Canis lupus familiaris: one gene and its partners. The protein of the gene in region 4 purifies or fractionates together with the protein of the main gene of each other region. This does not show direct contact. Links are inferred from orthologs where the notes say so. Each region holds a gene or a part of one and is shown on either strand. Other genes may lie near its edges.

Region 1 (3,500 bases), on a different chromosome or scaffold from region 4:
CAGGTGCACAGATGATGACTGCAAATACTTACAGTTGTTTGGCCTCGTGTGCAATAACCATTATGTTGTGTACTCTCAACACTGAGGTCTGTGGGGAGGCCAGAAAGACATTCCTCACCCACTCCTGTTTAAGCCCGTCTATCTTGAATCTTGGTAGATACACACAGCTGCTGGTTGTTTTCCTATAGGAGCTTGTTATGGACACAGGGTTCAAAAGTGGAGGGTGCAGAGAAGGAAATAATTGGTTTAAGGCAGAAATAACAAGTTTCTTGTAGCTACTCTGGGATATTGGTAGTAGCGACTTAGTAGAAGCAGTATTGAGGGGTTATGTTGAAAAGGAAGTGGAGGTCCTAGCAGGCTCTGTGGAGAAGGCACAAGTGCTACTGAGCCGTGTCTATCTGACAGTATGTGTGAAGCCAGGTCTTTCCTCCAGTACACCCCTTGGTCTTTCCCAATCATAGCCTCCAGAGGCCTACTTCAGAAGCTCTGCCCTGCCCTTTACTCCTGTAGATCTTCTCAGAATGATCCCAAAATGCAAGTATTCCAAATGCATCTGTGATCCTGATTCATTTACAGGTTCATGTATGTGCCAAGGAGTTAGCTTCTATCACAGAACAGAGAGCTAGGACTCAAGAATTCCTGGTCTCCAGGGGCTTTAGTTGGGAAAACAAGAAATGAACAAGTAGATGTTACTATATAGGATTTACAAGGTATGTGAGACTCTGAAGTGCTTTGCATACACTGTAGCACTCTGGGAGACTTCCCAGAGCCAGGAGGCGGCTGTCTGCACACAGGCATATCTCATTTCTCTTTGGACCCTAGGGGCTAGAACAGTGCAGGTGCATGGAAGAGACAGCAGTATAGCTGGGTGTAGAAAAACATGATCTCCCTTGAGTCATTGCTTAGCGATTGAAGTCTAGCAGATACTTCTTTTCCTTGGCAAGAGAACACTTAACCTCGCTGCCTTCCAGGCAGTATGCAAACATGCTAGCCTGCCAAGAGGGTTGACCAGTTTGCCATCCCTTGCAGAAACAGTATCCTTGGTCTTTAGCACTGTCCAGGATTTCATCCTGAAGGGCACTTGGAGCAGCACCTTGAGACTACAGAGGGTTTGAGTTTCAGGTGCTCTCTTCCCCCACTTCCTGCCACAAATGAGTGTTTCCAGGATTCTGAGCCGCTGACTTGGCTCTCAGATCCCAGGTAGGCCTCATTGGGTGAGGTGGTTCCCCTCTTCCAGCCTGAGATTCCTTCGCTGGAAAGGGAAGGGATTAGATCAGTGGGCTTCAGAATGCTTTTAAGAGCTTTAGTAGTTGGATGGAAATCTCCTGGGGGGAAGGTTGGGTGAACTGATTGGTAAGCAAGGCCGTACTTAAATTGTTTCATATGTTTTCATTTCTGACAAAATCAGAAGGTTTAAAGAACCCTGGATTAAATAATCTCTAGGGTTCCTCTATACATTAAGCAGCTAAAGTGGAAATAGGAAAGAGCCCCAGACACTCATACTAATTGTTCCCTTCAGGACCTGACCTAGTTTTGGCCAAAAATCCAAGGACTGCAGTTCAGGAGCTGTGGGGCCTCCCAGGACTGTCCAGCTTGTCAGCAGCTGCCTCGAGTGAAGCTCTCTGACCCTGGTGGAGACACTTAATCCGCAAGAAGTTATTGATAATCTGTTTTGTGCCCACCTAGGCCAGGCACTGTGAGAGAAAGAAGACACAGAACTTGCCCAGGAAGGAGCTTTATCATTTAACTGAAGAAATAAAATTAGAACCATTAAAATGCAATAAAATCAAAATATAATTAAGTTCTGAAAAGGTCTGGAGTGATTCTTGGAAGGGCTGGGCCTCGAAGGAGGTTGGGACAGATTCAGACACCTCAGCATGTGAGCCGAGACCCGGAGGTACGCGTGGACCTGATCCGGATGGCCCCCCGCGGTAGCGGCAGTGCCTCAGAGGCTGCGTTTATTGCCTGCCATAAAGAAAATGCCTTCCTATATCACTTTTCTCTGAATGGGCTCTCTCCCAAGCCCTTGTTTCCAGCAATGACAAGTCCCTCTTGGATGTGTTTGCAGATGCCCCTCCGCCGCAGCAGCAGCAGCCGCCACCACCACCACCGCCTGCAGATGGAGTCCCTCCGCCTCCTGCTCCAGGCCCTCCAGCGTCGGCGGCCCCCTAGCCTGGAAGACGGGGACAGCGTCCACACCCAGCGCCGCCAGCTGCCGGGCAGATGATGAGACTTGAGTTCCTCAGCTTCCTTGGGTTTCTTTTAGGATTTTTCTTCTCGCGGCCCCAAGCACGCATCCCATATTTCCCTGTTCCTCTTGCCAACCCCTCTCCGTGCTCCCACACCTCTTGTGTTAGGTCCTCTGCCGGCCTGCCGGGAGGCGGGGAGCCTGCAGTGACAGTGCGCCCTGGTCATCCTAATGGTAACCTGCGTCCCCCCCCCCCCCCATCCTGGTGTGGGGTATACTGACAGTTTCTCTGCAGGTCCTATCAACATTCGAATTTTATGTCTATTGTTTTTGCTCTCCTGCAGTTTTTGGCTTTGTCTTATGCTTATGTGGATAATGCTTTATAATCATTATGTTTTCTTTTTTCTTTTGTCATTGTTGCTTTAAATGGGAGCATCCTAAGTTCATAGGAACCAAAAAATGGTGATGGGCAGAGGGAATAGCCAGAGGGGACAAACCTAAAGGCATTATAAGTGACCTTATTTCTGCTAATCTGAGCTAAGATTGGTGCTGATGGTGAAGTTGCATGAGACTTTTGCCCCACATAGACACACCAAAATTCAAAGAGATGGGGACGGGACCCCACTGATTTTATTCCTGGTGAGGAATGTGAGGACCTCCACCCTGTGTGGCAGAACACGCCCCTTTAGTCCCCGGTAGGGGTATGCACAAGCATTAGAGCAGACCCACTCCTTCCCCAGGCCCACCGATTCTGGCTTTCTATGCAGGTGCTTCGTTGGATTAGGAGTGGGGCTTGGGGGAGGCATTCCTTTGTTCCCTAGACTAGCCAGGAACATTTTAAGAGCCTATGGCAATGACTACCCAGTGAGTCTAGTCCACTAGTCACTGCTTTGTATTCATTCTTTGCCCCGCCTTTAAAAAAAAAAAAAAAAAAACTCTAAAACGGAAAAAAAAAAAGTGAGTAGATAGTGCTAAACATTTTAGCTCATGGAAGTTGGTTAGGATTGGCTGGGGGTTCAAGTCCCCAAACTACCTCTTGCAGTCCAGGGTGAGTGGGGTTTAGTGAAGCGGTACTTTAGGTTTGGGATGGGATTGGAGAAGTGGGGCAGGATCAAGGGCCTCTCGTACCTTCTCTCTTCCCTTCCTGAGATCTCACATTCCATCTGTCGCAAGGTTATCAGGAAGATTCTGGGGGCACCAAGGAACTCAGTTGGCAATCAGAGCATCATGCTTTGAACTTTGGGGTACTCAGACTGGGAGATCAGAATGCCATTCCAGATGAGGAGCCACAAAAATGCCTTAACTTGAGCTC
Region 2 (3,500 bases), on a different chromosome or scaffold from region 4:
GGCACCCATAAACTGCTTTTTTGTTTGTTTCTGTTTTGTTTTTAAAGATTTTATTTATTTGAGAGAGACAGCATGTGCAAGAGTATGAGCAAGGGGAGGGGCAGAGGGACAAGTCGACTCCCCACTGAGTTTGGAGCCAGATTGGAGACTTATCCCAGAAACCTGAGATCATGACCTGAGCTGGAGTCAGACGCTTAACTTACTGAGCCACCCATGTGCCTCTCCCCTAAACAGTTTTTTAACAAGATTTGCAGGACATTTTGGGATCTAGGCCCTGCTTCCTCTTCGGTCTCCTCTCTTGTCACTCTTCCTGCCACCGTTCTTCCCCTTCACCACAGATCCTTCAGCCAAACTAAACTGTGTTTTCCCAGTGTACCAGATGGTGTCCTGTCTGGGATTATGCTCATGCTGCTTCCTCTGACTTTGTAGGTCTGTCTTCACTTTGGCTAACTTGTACTCATCCTTAGGACTCAGTTTAGACATCACTTCTTGGGGAAGCCCTCCTCCTCCCTTATGTGCCCATAGGTTTTTCTTAGTGCAGAAGTGCCCTTCCCATGTGCTCTCTGGGCATTTTGTGATCACCCACGTACCCTACTGTATCAGGATTCCCGGCTAGATGTGAATGAACTTCTGTAGAGCAGGGACTGTGCCTTGTTTGTCATTGACTCCTTAGTAATTCATGTTGGGCCTGGCACGGTATGTTGTAGTTTAGTAGATACTTGTGAAATGAATAAGTGAATGATATTAATGTGATGATTTTTCACTAATCATTCTCCCCAAAATTATCTAAAGCAAGGCTATAAATTTTATGAATTGATTTTTATTTTAAGCTTGAGTTTTATGGGCATCCATACTAATGTTTAATACTTTCTTGTATATTTATTATATATTTTTATTTCATTTTATTTTCATGTTAATTTTGTTTAGGCATAAATCATTTGTTTTAAATAATTCTTGGCTTATTTTCTTTTTATAACCTTGAGATTTATCCCTGCCTCAGGTGGAGGATGCGCTGTCCTATCTTGACCAGGTGAAGCTGCAGTTTGGTAGTCAGCCTCAGGTCTACAATGATTTCCTTGACATCATGAAGGAATTTAAATCTCAGAGGTAAAAGATCTATGTGGTTGTATTCAAGCTTTGTGCTTGAAATGTTGCTTTTGGAGGGAGGATATTGCTTATTTTCGTACGCTGAAAGATAAAGGATGCCTCCTTTTGGGGAGTTTAATTTTTAGGATCATGTCTTTATTTCATGTATTGCTTTCTTGATGACGATTATGGGTCCTGGACTTTGTATTCACCCTGTTGGTTAATTTTCCTTAGCACGTCATCTCAATCAGGGAAGTAGAAGGATAGTGATGAGCCCCACCTGGTCTCGGAGTTGACGTAGGGTACGCTAATATTCTGGCGTGGTTCACTTGCTAGAGTAACTCGTGAAAACTGTGAACACACAATGATTTATCCTCATGTGGTAGAGAGTGGGTCCTGCGTGGGAGTTGCTGCTTTAGATATGCTGTTAAGGATCTGCTTGTTAGGACTGTTATCGTGAATATATGTTGTGTTCAAAATTGTGACCAAACCTCTTTGAATATGAGGCTAAAATTGCTTTGGAATTTCAGAGTTCTTTGTATTTTGTTGATTTGGTGATATGCAGGTTGATTTTACATGTTTTCCTATTCAGAGAACCTAGTGGAATGTGCATTTTTTTCTTACTAGGGTATTGGTAAAGCTTGCCACTTTAACTTTTTGTGGTGTGTGTGTGTGTGTGTGTGTGTGTGTTTGTATGTACATGTTTTGTTTTTTGTTTTAATCAGCATTGACACTCCAGGAGTGATTAGTCGTGTGTCCCAGCTGTTCAAAGGACATCCCGACCTGATTATGGGCTTCAATACCTTCTTGCCCCCTGGCTACAAGATTGAGGTGCAAACCAATGACATGGTGAATGTGACAACTCCTGGCCAGGTTCATCAGATCCCCACCCATGGCATCCAGCCCCAGCCTCAGCCACCACCCCAGCATCCTTCTCAGCCTTCAGCCCAGTCAGCCCCAGCTCCTGCCCAACCAGCTCCTCAGCCCCCACCTGCCAAAGTCAGCAAGGTGAGCACTTGGAATACGTTGCATCAGGTAAAATGCATACCTAGAAAGCACCCTCCTTTGATATTTCCCCTTTATATAGAATTTAGAGACATCAGTTGTGGTGATTTCATCACAGAAGCTGAAGTAGTCACATTGGTATAAGATGGTTCACATTTACCTTCCACATACTTAGGTATCTGTTTAGATCAACACATCCATAACTTATAAAGAACTTATTTTGTCCCCACCTCCTGCCTTGTGAACCCATGAGCATCCCAACAGATGGCAACTTTATTGTGTAGTAGTACTTTGATGGCACAGGCAGAAATGATCATCTGATAATCAGATTATGTTACTGCCCACGGGGTCATCATTTTATAAAAGTCACTCCATTTACCAGATTAGGTCATGGCAAGCCAAGCAGAAGATCCCGTTGCTGGTGGTGATGATGGTGGTGGTGTGTACTTGCTCTAGAACTGCACTGTCTGATACAGTAGCCTCTAGCCACATATGGCTGTGTTTAAATTTAAACTAATTAAAATAAATTCAGTTTCTCAGTTGTACTGGCTACATTTCAAGTACTCAGTAGCCCTGGGTAGCTTAGTGGCTATATTCTATAGGACAGTGCAATATGAAAGAACATTGCCATCACTGGAGTTCTATTGGACAGAGGTGGTTTAGAAGATTTTTATGTGGAATTCTGCAACAAGTGTCTTTTGACATTAAAGATCTATGGAGAGTAAGGGTTGATTTTTTTTTTTCTTATTATGTTTGCACCTGTTGAGTGAGCTTAAAAATTGCATTAGAAAAATTCTTCCCTGTAATTGGAGATGTAGCCACTTCTCAGGTTGTATTTCGAAAATTTGAAACAAAAATATCTGTATTAGAGAGTGTGAGCCCTTGCACTCCCCATGCCTGCCCAGTGTGATTTGAGTTGGGCTAACTGGCCTGGTCAGAGTAAATAAAGTACATTTGTTGATCAGACACCTTGTTTCTCTTTAGTTTGACCTTTCTTTCCTATGTCAGACCATCTGTATTTCTGAGGAGAATGACTTTTTTTCTTTTTAGCCTTCCCAACTACAAGCACATACTCCAGCCAGTCAGCAGACACCCCCTCTCCCACCATATGCATCCCCACGCTCTCCACCTGTCCAGCCTCATACACCAGTGACAATCTCGTTGGGAACGGCCCCATCCTTGCAGAACAATCAGCCTGTGGAGTTTAATCATGCCATCAACTATGTTAATAAAATCAAGAACAGGTTCCAGGGCCAACCAGACATCTACAAAGCATTTTTGGAAATTTTGCACACATACCAGGTAAGAGAGTTGCCCTTTCAGCATGTCTTAATTAATCAGGTCACATGCTGAGGGCATCTGGTCTGAGAACTTGAATAACCATTATTATGTTCCCTAAGTTTTACTGG
Region 3 (3,500 bases), on a different chromosome or scaffold from region 4:
GCATAGGTGTTCCCATCTCACCACACACTTTGCCTTCACAGCACTTACTGCACTCATTATTAAAATAAAGACGGAAAAATAATTTCACCATTTATTTCCCTTGCCCAATCCTCAGTGTGCCAAAGGTGCCAAGGGGGGTAAAAACATAGGCTTAACTAAGATTTCTATTAAAAAAAAAAAAAAAGGTGGGTTCCTGCAGTATTGAGACGGTTAAGTAAAAGTGAGTGGCCAACATTTTTAAATTTAGAAATTTATTCTGTTTAATCCACAAGCTTTATATAGCTTTAGTTTAAAAAAAAAAAAAACAAAAAAACAAAAACAGTGAAAACAAGACACTATTTCAAAGTCTGGGCCCTTCCAGCCTTCCAAATACGAGAGCTCTGAAAGTTGTATATACCAATTGGAAGAACAAGACAAAATTATGAATGGAGCCATGACATTTCATAAAACAAACTTTTATATAACTGAAGGATCCTTCCTGGGACTAGTTAATTGCCTTTACAAAAAAACACAACAGAATAGAATGAATTCCAGTGTTCCAAATCAACTTGTTACACATCAATATAAACCCACAGTGTCCTGGCAAACAACATGCTTTCATTTTCCATCTCGTCCTAGAGCTCGAATCCTGATTCATTTCAGCAGAGACTCCACAGGCAACAGGAAAGATTGTGGCATTAAAATATTCATTTATACTTTGTGGTAGTTCAACAGTGGTCTTATTTCTGGGCAAGCTTGCAAACCATACAAGGTTGGAAGCATCATAACTTAAATGGGTGCTAAGACTCAAATGAGAAAAAAATAAAGAAAAAAAAAATGACAAGAAAGGAAAACCTCTGGGAATAGCCAAGGCCTTTAAAGAAACCATAAAAATGCCAACAATATTGAAACCCCCTTTTTTAAAAAGAGGATTTTTTTTTTGGCTTAAAATATTTCACTCTAAATGAATTTATGTCAGCTGTCAATGAAAGAATGTCACTAATACACTGTGGACACCTTTTGCAATGTAAATCCATGCCCCTTTTTTTTTTACATGGTGAACTTCAACCTAGCAATTATTACAACAAATGTTATAGTCTAAAGCTCAAACACATTTTAGCAATTTTGAAATTGAATTGCATACAAACCAAATAAAATGTACATCGTGACACACATTCCCGCCTAAGACTGTGGGGACACTTGAGCCTTCCGCATCGACCTCAGCGCCTTTTCACGCAGGTGCTTCTCTAAGTCGTCGAGGTTGTCTTCAGGCTCACTCTCCGTTTCCTAAAACCAGAGGGGCCACACTGGTGAGTCCTGACACACTGGCAGAGAGGTGTAGGGTGCAAGGGCAGAACCACATCATGGCAGTGACTGCACAACTCTAATACACTAAAACCCCCTCAATCAGCTGCACAACTCTATGAATATACTAAAAACCCCTCAATCATATACTTTCTTTTTAAATTTACTTTACTTAAGTACTCTATACCCAACACAGGGCTTGAACTCACAACCCTGAAACCCTGAGGTTAAGAGTTGTGTGCTCTACTGAGCCAGCCAGGCACCCTTGAGTGCCTTTTAATAGGTGAATGGCACGTTAATTATATCTTAAAGAAGTTATTTTTTAAAAATATACAGTAAGCATTTGGCAGCCATTCATATTCTTCTCCTTCGTCTTGGTAGATATCAAGAATGAGGATAGATCAGAAGAGTTAGCTAACAGCCGAGTAGCCATTATTGTAAAAAAATTCTTTTCTTCTCAACAAGTGACCAAGCGATCTGTAGAAGTCTAAGACACACACGTACCTTCTTAGGCTCGGGCTCTGCCTCCGGTTCCTCCTGTGCTGATGTGGTCGTGGGGGCCGCAGGGGCCGTGGGAGTGACAGCTGCTGCAGCGGCTGCTGCCATGGCCTTTTCCTTCTTGTGTTTTTTGTGCTTCTTGTGCTTCTTATCCTTTTTGTGTTTCTTGTCCTTCTTTTTCTTCTTTTTCTTTCCACCTCCTTCTGGGTCTGAGTTCTAGAAATCCAGAAAAATCCCAACAATAACATCAATCAGATTAAAATGTTGTCCAATAAACGTTTTACTTTCTCAAGGGAATAATTAAATGGACAAATCTCAGGAGTCCCCAAGGCTTTGGGGGAGGGGGAGCCCAAGGGCAATCCCTGCCAAGAAAAGTATGAAAACCACATTGCAAGTAAAGATGCTCTTCCCAGATTTTAAGATTTTAAGATGCCTGGGTGGCTCAGTGGTGAAGCGTCTGCCTTTGGCTCAGGATGTGATCCTGGGATCTGGGATCAAGTCCCACACTGGGCTCCTTGCGTGGAGCCTGCTTCTCCCTCTGCCTATGTCTTTGCCTCTCTCTCTCTCTCTCTCTCTCATAAATAAATAAAAGTTAAAAAAAAAAAAAAAAAGTCAGAATGGACCCTGAAGGACCTTTCTGATCTCCCCCACATTAAACCAAATTTCCCAACCATGAGAGGCCAGTCAGGTGTCCAGGATCCCAAGCTACCTCCAAATATAGGGAAAGCAACATGTGCAAAAGAGAAGTCTCTGAACTCAGCTAGACTTCAGGTGAATCTGGCTCCTGAACCTGTTCACCATTTGACCTCAAATATTTTTCTAAGCTCCCTCTGTAAACCTAAATGGGTACAGCAGTCCCCAATAAAGCTGTCAGGGTCTATCTGTAAACTGCCCACAATACTAGCCTAACAGGTGGCAGGCTTTCAGTAAGTACAGTTATTATTCTAAACACACACTCATGTGAATGCCCCATTCTCCAGCCACTGTTACAGCTTCTCCTGGCTCTAGACTGGAAATTGTTCCTTAATGCATAACCACTGACCGTTGAACAACATGGGGGATTAGAGGCAACAACTCTCCATGCAGTTGAAAACCTGTATATAACAAGCCCTCAGTCTGTACATAGACCAGAAGCCTTATGGGTAACATAAACAGTCACTGAACACATATTTTGTGCGTTATGTACATTTTATGCTATATTCTTACAATAAAATAAACTGCAGAAAAAAACATTAAGTATAAGGAAAAAAAAAGTATAAGGAAGAAAAAACACATTTACAATGCTGTACTGTATTCACCAAAAATTTCCATGTGTAAGTGGCCCCGCTCAATGCTATTCAAGGGTCCAACTGTTAACGCCAAAATTATGCAAAGGGCAATTCTGCTGTAATTGAATTCCATCTGTAATTCTCAAATTTCACATTTGTAAGCAGTTACTTAAAATTCCTCAATCCATTCAATTACTTTGTAAAGTAATTCAGGCAACCCGACTGCTGACATGGACATCTAACTACTGACTTCATACAATAAAGAAACCTATTCAAGATCAGATTAATGATTCATAGAGGGGATGATATAGTTTAAACTCCAATACTTTAATATCCCAATGACATTTAAACTTCACAAGGTAAAAACAAGTGTTATTCTTATTTATGCAACTTTTTTTTTAATTAAAGATTTTATTTATTTATTCATGAGAGAGACACACAGAGAGAGGC
Region 4 (3,500 bases):
CCATGGGCCGTTCCACTAGAGCAGTGGGCCCCGCTCATCTGCCCTCTCTCCCTCCAGATTGGCAGGACGACCAGTCCGACAACCAGTCCGATTATTCAGTGGCCTCAGAGGAAGGTGATGAAGACTTTGATGAACGTTCAGAAGGTGAGAGCTATGCCTTTCTGCTGACTTTTTAAATATTGCTTTGTTTCACACCCCTACCAGCATCACTCACACATCCTTTTCTTCTTGCAGCTCCCCGCAGGCCCAGCCGTAAGGGCCTGCGGAATGATAAAGATAAGCCATTGCCTCCTCTGTTGGCTCGTGTTGGTGGAAATATCGAAGTAAGTGCCATTTGGTTCTAAGGTGGGGTGGGTGAGTGCTAGATACTTGGTCATCGATGGAGTAAGGCCTACTCCCTCTCACTTAGGCTCCTCCTTCCTCTAGGTACTTGGCTTTAATGCTCGCCAGCGAAAAGCCTTTCTTAATGCAATTATGCGGTATGGGATGCCACCTCAGGATGCTTTTACCACCCAGTGGCTTGTGAGAGATCTGCGAGGCAAATCAGAGAAAGAGTTCAAGTAAGTGGAGAGCTGGAATGACTGATGGTAGAGCAAAAACTTCTGATCTCTGGTGGTTCCATGGTACTAGTCAAGGCTGCACACGGAAACAGGCAGGTTCCTCTGTTGAAGTTGGTGGGTGTAACCACTAATAATAGGGTTCCTTGTGTTCCTAGTTTCCCTAGAGGAGAACCTGGGGCATGGTGTGGGTTCTGGAGAACTGGCCTTCAGTGTGATGGCAGCTTTATCTTAAGATGGAGCCAGAGTTGTTTGGTGGAAAGATCTCCTCTAGGAGTTGGCCTGATTGCTGTTGAACTCATTTTCTCACTTCTTTGCTACAGGGCTTACGTATCTCTTTTCATGCGACATTTATGTGAGCCAGGAGCAGATGGGGCTGAGACCTTTGCTGATGGTGTCCCCCGAGAAGGCTTGTCTCGCCAGCATGTCCTTACCAGGATTGGTGTCATGTCCTTGATTCGAAAGAAGGTGAGCCCTAAGCCTCTCTGCATTGTTCAGAGTTTCTACGGGAAACTAGAGGACAAACGGGAGAGGAGCCTAGAGCTGGAATTGGTCTTCACCTTCCTGTCCCATTGCTACAGGTTCAGGAGTTTGAACATGTCAATGGGCGTTGGAGCATGCCTGAGCTTGCTGAAGTAGAAGAAAATAAGAAAATGTCCCAGCCAGGGTCACCTTCTCCAAAGACTCCTACACCCTCCACTCCGGGGGACACACAACCCAATACCCCTGCACCTGCTCCACCTGCTGGTAAGTCTGTCTGTACTGTCTATCCTTTTCTGTTCTTCTTCTTTTTTTTTTTTTTGGTCCTTGCCAGTGTTTCTTCTGCTCCCTTGTATTGAGCTCTGACAGAGGAGTCTGGCAGGACACACAGCAATCTCCCTCTCAGTTTAGGAGAGCCGTCCTAAGAATAGGGCTGGCTCTTAAAGGCACGAGAGGACAATTTTAAGATAAGACCAACTGAGAAGGCATGACCTTCTCTCTGATCTAGAACTTTCTTCCTAATTAATTGCCTTCTATTGGTCTGCAGAGGATGGGATAAAAATAGAGGAGAATAGCCTCAAAGAAGAAGAGAGTGTAGAAGGAGAAAAGGAGGTTAAATCTACAGCTCCGGAGGCCACTGTTGAGGTAAGAGATGGGGGTGACCGGATGCCATACGGAAGATAAATGAAGAAGCCCATTCATCTTTTCAGTTGCTGGCCTGTCTGCCTCAACTTATGTACTTTTTCCTTTGAAGTGTACACAACCCCCTGCCCCTGCCTCAGAGGATGAAAAAGTCCTTGTTGAACCTCCTGAGGTTGAGGAGAAAGTAGAAAAGGCGGAGGTGAAGGAGAGAACAGAGGAACCAATGGAGACAGAGCCCAAAGGTATCCACATTTCCAAGTATTACATCCAGATCCCTGTGAAACTTAGGTACTTCTAGCTGGGCTAAGGAAAGGTCAGGAGGAAGTGACACCCTGGAGAATCCCCTACCCTTGATTTTATATTGAGGGTTTTTAATCCCTTAAGACATTTTTTATGATGTTAGTCATTGAGATTTGGGGTTAAGACTGTCCCCCAGTCTTAACTGGTGTGGGACAGAGGAGAATCTTCTTTATTTTTATTTTCTTATAAAGATTTTATTTTTAAGTAACCTGTACCCACCATGGGGCTCGAACTCACAACCCCGAGATCAAGAGTTGCATGCTCTAACGACAGCCAGCCAGGCACCCCAGAACGTTCTTTATATACTCTCAAATCCCATCTGTTCCCCCCAGGTGTTGCTGACGTGGAGAAGGTAGAAGAGAAGTCAGCAGTAGATCTGACCCCCATTGTGGTAGAGGACAAAGGTGAGTGTTTGGAGAAGCTGATCGTGACTAAAAAGGACTCTAAAACTAGATGCAAGGACTTTATCTCTGGTACACCCCCTGGCTTCTCACACCCATATAACTATTTAATCCCAAGCTAAAAGACTCCCAACTGTCCCTACATATGATTGTCACGGGCCAGTGACATTTTTCTGGGTTTGAGAAATACCTGTGTGGAGAAAGGGTGAAGGTGGCTGCATGCTTAGAGCATATAGTGCTGTGGGTAAGGACCAAGGTGCTATGCTTTTGTCTGGAGCTGACATTTTTTTTCTGCATATCCTGTAGAAGAGAAAAAAGAAGAAGAAGAGAAAAAAGAGGTGATGCTTCAGAATGGAGAGACCCCCAAGGACCTGAATGATGAGAAGCAGAAAAAAAATATCAAACAACGTTTCATGTTCAATATTGCAGATGGTGGTTTTACTGGTATGACATTGAGGGACCAACTGGGGTTAGAAGGATCTGAAGTGAAAGTAGGGTTCTTGTCAGAGGCCAGGATACAAAGATTTTACCTCTACCAGATAAGGGACTGCCAAGTTGATTGCACATTCCTCTGACTCTATGTTAGAAAGCCAGAGGCCTACTCCTAAGATGGCATCTGTGGGCCAGGAATAAATAGCTTTTTGAATTCTTACAGATATTTGCCTCTCTTGTTCTTCTCCACCTTCCCCAAATTCCTATTCAGAGTTGCACTCCCTTTGGCAGAATGAGGAGCGGGCAGCCACAGTCACTAAGAAGACTTACGAGATTTGGCATCGGCGGCACGACTACTGGCTGCTGGCTGGCATCATAAAGTATCCTTTGCTGGAGTCTGGGCTGAGGTTCTTGGTAAAGGGTTCTGAAGGTCCTACTGTTTGAAGTTTCTGCTTTCCTTGTTTTGTTTTTCCTGAGCAATTTTCCAATAGCCATGGCTATGCCCGGTGGCAGGACATCCAGAATGACCCACGCTATGCCATCCTCAATGAACCTTTCAAGGGTGAAATGAATCGTGGCAATTTCTTAGAGATCAAGAATAAGTTTCTAGCCCGAAGGTTCAAGGTGAGCAGGATAGGGAGGAATATAGTATTGAAGTGACAGCCTTTGAAATGCAGAAGGGACTGTA
Region 5 (3,500 bases), on a different chromosome or scaffold from region 4:
GACACGGAGGCAAAAGGAGCCCAAGTGCCAGTCTCTGCAGATGTACAGCAAGGTGGAATACGCTTCGCCTGCCTTGTTGGAAGTTTGAGAGCTGAAATGCAAGTCCATTCTGAAATGCCTTTTTGGGGGGTGGGGGCACCATCTTTTGTTCTGTTGGGAGGGCATCTTTTCCAGAGCAGGACTTCCCCCATCCTTTCCCTTTCTTATCTCCAAACTTGGGGTGTTCCACACTCTCTCTGTGTCCTCTATGAGTAGGCATTGCATGATGGTACCAAGGTGGGCATTGTTGCCCTTCCGGGAGCTTCCAGCCTAGTGCAGGACATGGACATTGAATAATGGCCCAAATGGATCCTTCTTAGCAAGGAGGAGCTTGTAAGGAACCTTCTGGGGAGATGGGAAGGTGCCACTTGCTCTGAATAGGGCAGTGGAGCATTCAGGGCCCAGGGAAGAGCTATTGTGCTGTAAACCAGGCTGCTTGATGCTAGGGAGTCCTTGAAGTACCCTGGCCTGAACCCTCCCTCTGCATGTATTATACTGATTAAGAGGCCACTCCCAGCAGGAGGGGGCTTGGTGGGAGAACTCATCACTGTTTTTCCAGAATATTTCCCCTGTCAGACTGTTCCATCCAAAAATTTGTGGTATTTATTTTTGATGCTGTTTTAATGCTTTTATTCCATCTGTGTGGCATTTAGCTTTATTTTCTATAAAGGCAGATATTTGGAGCCTCTTCTGCCTTGATCAGAACCGTTTGTGTAAAAAAAAAAAAAAAAAGTTTGTGTGTTTCGGTAGCTCTTCCTGCCGAGCAGAGTAGTGGACTAAAACTTGGTGTCGGTGCAGTCAGGCTGAGTCACTTGCCGCAGACATCTGTGGACGGGGATGCTGGTTGCCACCCAGAGGTAGTTGAAGGTTACGTGTGATGGCTTGCGAAGAGGGCCAGGGACCAAGTAAGTGCCAGCATTAGCCCCACTGTGCCTGGTCACCACCACTGTGCCTTCTCTGAAGCCAGAGGTGCTAGGGGCCCAGGAGACCAAAGGTGACACCACACAGGGAGAAGAGCCTGGTGCTGTGGAGTCAGCAGCCTGTTGAGTATGAAGCATCAAAGGAAAGAGGAAGTCCACCATGAGAGGGGAAGCACCTTTCCCCCCTGGCCAGACTTCCCAGAGGCCAGTGAGGGAGCTGATAGTCTGGCTCCAGGCCCTGGGGACTTCTGTCATCTGCTCCCCAGACCGCCAGCTTGACACTGTTTCCTGACACAGTTTCTCTGCCTTGCTCATTATTTGGGACTTGTTCCTCATTATTTTAACTGCAGACGCACTAAGGGAACCCTTTCTGGGCCACACAGGCCCCACAGGGGCAGCAGCGGGGGTCCTGTGTGCATTCCAGGATGCTGGGAGGGAAGTCATGTCACTGAAGCGTGAAGCCTGTGGTTAGAAGGCCTCTGGGGCTAGGTTCTGTTTAGAAGCTCCCCTGTTCCCATCTGTGTCCCATGTCCTGAGAACAGACTCCCACCTTCAGCAGACAGCTGTTGGGGAAGATCTTGAGAACTGTGGACTGGGATGCATTTTCTCACATGACACGGGACAGGGCCAGCTGCCAAGGGCTGGGCTTGAGGCTGCTCACTCATCTCCCTCTGTTCTCTCCTAGTCACCCATGTTCGATGGAAAAGTCCCACACTGGTACCACTTTTCCTGCTTCTGGAAGGTCGGCCACTCCATCCGGCACCCTGACGTGGAGGTGGACGGGTTCTCTGAACTCAGGTGGGATGACCAGCAGAAAGTCAAAAAGACTGCGGAGGCTGGAGGCGTGACAGGTGTGTATGGACCTGGGGGCAGCAGGTGCAGACCCCCAGTCCCACCTGGGCAGCTTCCCTGGGGACCTCTTCTGGGGGGTGGGGAGCCCTTCAGCTTTGTTACCTGTGATTTCGGCAGCACCTCCTTGGCTTGCCTATGGTAGGCTGTTTTTGTTTTTCAACGAGTTTTCCCATTTACCTCCTGCCGCCACACAGGCAGGGCCTCTCCCTCTGTCTCCCTCCACAGCGGTACATGTGTTCAAGTGGACCCTTCATTATCACCCCAGGTCCAAGGTTTAAGGATTCACGTGTGGTAGTGTACATTGTATGGGTTTGGACAATACACAATTGACCTTTGAACAACATGGGTTTGAACTGGTCTGCTTCTGTCTAATCTTCAGTAAATTCAACACTACTATAAATGTGTTTACTTAATAACATTTTCTTTTTTGAGGTTTACCTTATTGGGAGTTCAATATTTAATACTTATAACAAAGGATGTGTTAACTGTTGGTTATCAGTAGGGCTTCCCGTGAACAGTAGGCTGTTAGTAGTTAAGTTTCAGGGGTATTGTGGGGCACCTGGGAGGCTCACTCAGTGAAGCATCTGCCTTCAGGTCATGATCCCAGGTCCTGGGATCAAGTTCCACATCAGGCTCCCTGCTCAGTGGGGAGTCTGCTTCTCCCTCTGCCATTCCTCCTGCTCACACTCCTCCTGCTCACACTCGCTTGCTTTCTATCAAATAAATAAAATCTTTTAAAAAAAAAAAAGGTTTCAGGGGACTCAAGTGACCCATAGGTTTTCAGTGCACGAGGAAGGTCAACATCCCAACTCCCACTTTGTTCAAGTGTCATCTGTATTTGGAGTCATTCGTATGTAGTCTCTTCAGATTGGCTTCTCTACTTAATAATTAACAGGCATTTCAGGTTCCTCTGTGTCTCTTCGGGGCTTGATGGCTCCGTTCCCTTTAACCCTGAATAACATTCCATTGTCTGGATGGACCACGGTCTGTTCGTTAGGAAGGATATCTTGGTTGCTTCCAAGATTCAGTAAATGCAAATAAAAGTGCTGTGAACATCCGTGTGTAAATTTTTGTGCAGACTTAGGTGCACATCCATGTGTAAATTTTGTGCAGACTTTCATTTGGATAGAAAGCAAAGAGCATGACTGCTCATCCTCTGGGGAAGCGTAGGCTTCATTTTGTAAGAAACCCCGCAAACCAGGGGCAGCCCCGGTGGTGCAGCGGTTTGGCGCCGCCTGCAGCCCAGGGCGTGATCCTGGAGACCCTGGATTGAGTCCCATATCGGGCTCTCTGCATGGAGCCTGCTTCTCCCTCTGCCTGTGTCTCTGTCTCTATGAATAAATAAATAAAATCTTAAAAAAAAAAAAAAAGAAAGAAAAGAAACCCGCAAACCAGCTCTCTAAGCAGCTGTACCAGTTTGCATTTCCATCACTCCCTCACTAGCACTTGGTATGTCTGGGTTCAGGATTTTAACCATTCTGATGGGTGTGTACAGGTGTCTTGAGTTGGTTTGCAGTCCCCTAATACCCTACAATGTGGAGCATCTTTTCGTGTGCTTATTGCCATCTGCATCTCTATTTGGGAAAGAGTCTGGATATTTTGCCATTCATCTTTCATGTTCTTTCCTTGAGTTTTAGAGTTGTTCATGTATTTTGGATAGTGGTCTTTTGTCTTTTGCAGATGTCTTTT

What was found.
Region 1: the proteins of CHD4 (region 4) and SMARCC1 purify together in Homo sapiens (affinity purification with western blotting; 6 studies listed by BioGRID, with this or other methods). This does not show direct contact. The link is inferred for Canis lupus familiaris from reciprocal best matches to the Homo sapiens genes CHD4 and SMARCC1.
Region 2: the proteins of CHD4 (region 4) and SIN3A purify together in Homo sapiens (affinity purification with mass spectrometry; 3 studies listed by BioGRID, with this or other methods). This does not show direct contact. The link is inferred for Canis lupus familiaris from reciprocal best matches to the Homo sapiens genes CHD4 and SIN3A.
Region 3: the proteins of CHD4 (region 4) and SRRM1 purify together in Homo sapiens (affinity purification with mass spectrometry; 3 studies listed by BioGRID). This does not show direct contact. The link is inferred for Canis lupus familiaris from reciprocal best matches to the Homo sapiens genes CHD4 and SRRM1.
Region 5: the proteins of CHD4 (region 4) and PARP1 purify together in Homo sapiens (affinity purification with mass spectrometry; 4 studies listed by BioGRID and IntAct, with this or other methods). This does not show direct contact. The link is inferred for Canis lupus familiaris from reciprocal best matches to the Homo sapiens genes CHD4 and PARP1.

What each region holds. Positions count from the first base shown.
Region 1 is NC_049241.1:41,739,512-41,743,011, forward strand, and holds part of SMARCC1 (SWI/SNF complex subunit SMARCC1), read left to right. Parts: intron 1-2,068; coding exon 2,069-2,172; 3' UTR 2,173-3,500. UniProt on the Homo sapiens protein: Involved in transcriptional activation and repression of select genes by chromatin remodeling (alteration of DNA-nucleosome topology).
Region 2 is NC_049251.1:38,711,407-38,714,906, reverse strand, and holds part of SIN3A (paired amphipathic helix protein Sin3a), read left to right. Parts: intron 1-1,000; coding exon 1,001-1,107; intron 1,108-1,811; coding exon 1,812-2,094; intron 2,095-2,470; exon of another isoform or gene 2,471-2,714; intron 2,715-3,141; coding exon 3,142-3,393; intron 3,394-3,500. UniProt on the Homo sapiens protein: Acts as a transcriptional repressor. Corepressor for REST. Interacts with MXI1 to repress MYC responsive genes and antagonize MYC oncogenic activities. Also interacts with MXD1-MAX heterodimers to repress transcription by tethering SIN3A to DNA.
Region 3 is NC_049223.1:74,414,054-74,417,553, forward strand, and holds the end of SRRM1 (serine/arginine repetitive matrix protein 1), read right to left. Parts: intron 1,999-3,500; coding exon 1,789-1,998; intron 1,267-1,788; coding exon 1,162-1,266; 3' UTR 235-1,161; downstream 1-234. UniProt on the Homo sapiens protein: Part of pre- and post-splicing multiprotein mRNP complexes. As a component of the minor spliceosome, involved in the splicing of U12-type introns in pre-mRNAs. Involved in numerous pre-mRNA processing events.
Region 4 is NC_049248.1:7,660,347-7,663,846, reverse strand, and holds part of CHD4 (chromodomain-helicase-DNA-binding protein 4), read left to right. Parts: coding exon 1-144; intron 145-234; coding exon 235-323; intron 324-426; coding exon 427-560; intron 561-880; coding exon 881-1,025; intron 1,026-1,138; coding exon 1,139-1,304; intron 1,305-1,358; exon of another isoform or gene 1,359-1,498; intron 1,499-1,584; coding exon 1,585-1,682; intron 1,683-1,791; coding exon 1,792-1,921; intron 1,922-2,311; coding exon 2,312-2,383; intron 2,384-2,686; coding exon 2,687-2,824; intron 2,825-3,083; coding exon 3,084-3,192; intron 3,193-3,303; coding exon 3,304-3,436; intron 3,437-3,500. UniProt on the Homo sapiens protein: ATP-dependent chromatin-remodeling factor that binds and distorts nucleosomal DNA. Acts as a component of the histone deacetylase NuRD complex which participates in the remodeling of chromatin.
Region 5 is NC_049228.1:38,456,305-38,459,804, forward strand, and holds part of PARP1 (poly [ADP-ribose] polymerase 1), read left to right. Parts: intron 1-1,644; coding exon 1,645-1,810; intron 1,811-3,500. UniProt on the Homo sapiens protein: Poly-ADP-ribosyltransferase that mediates poly-ADP-ribosylation of proteins and plays a key role in DNA repair.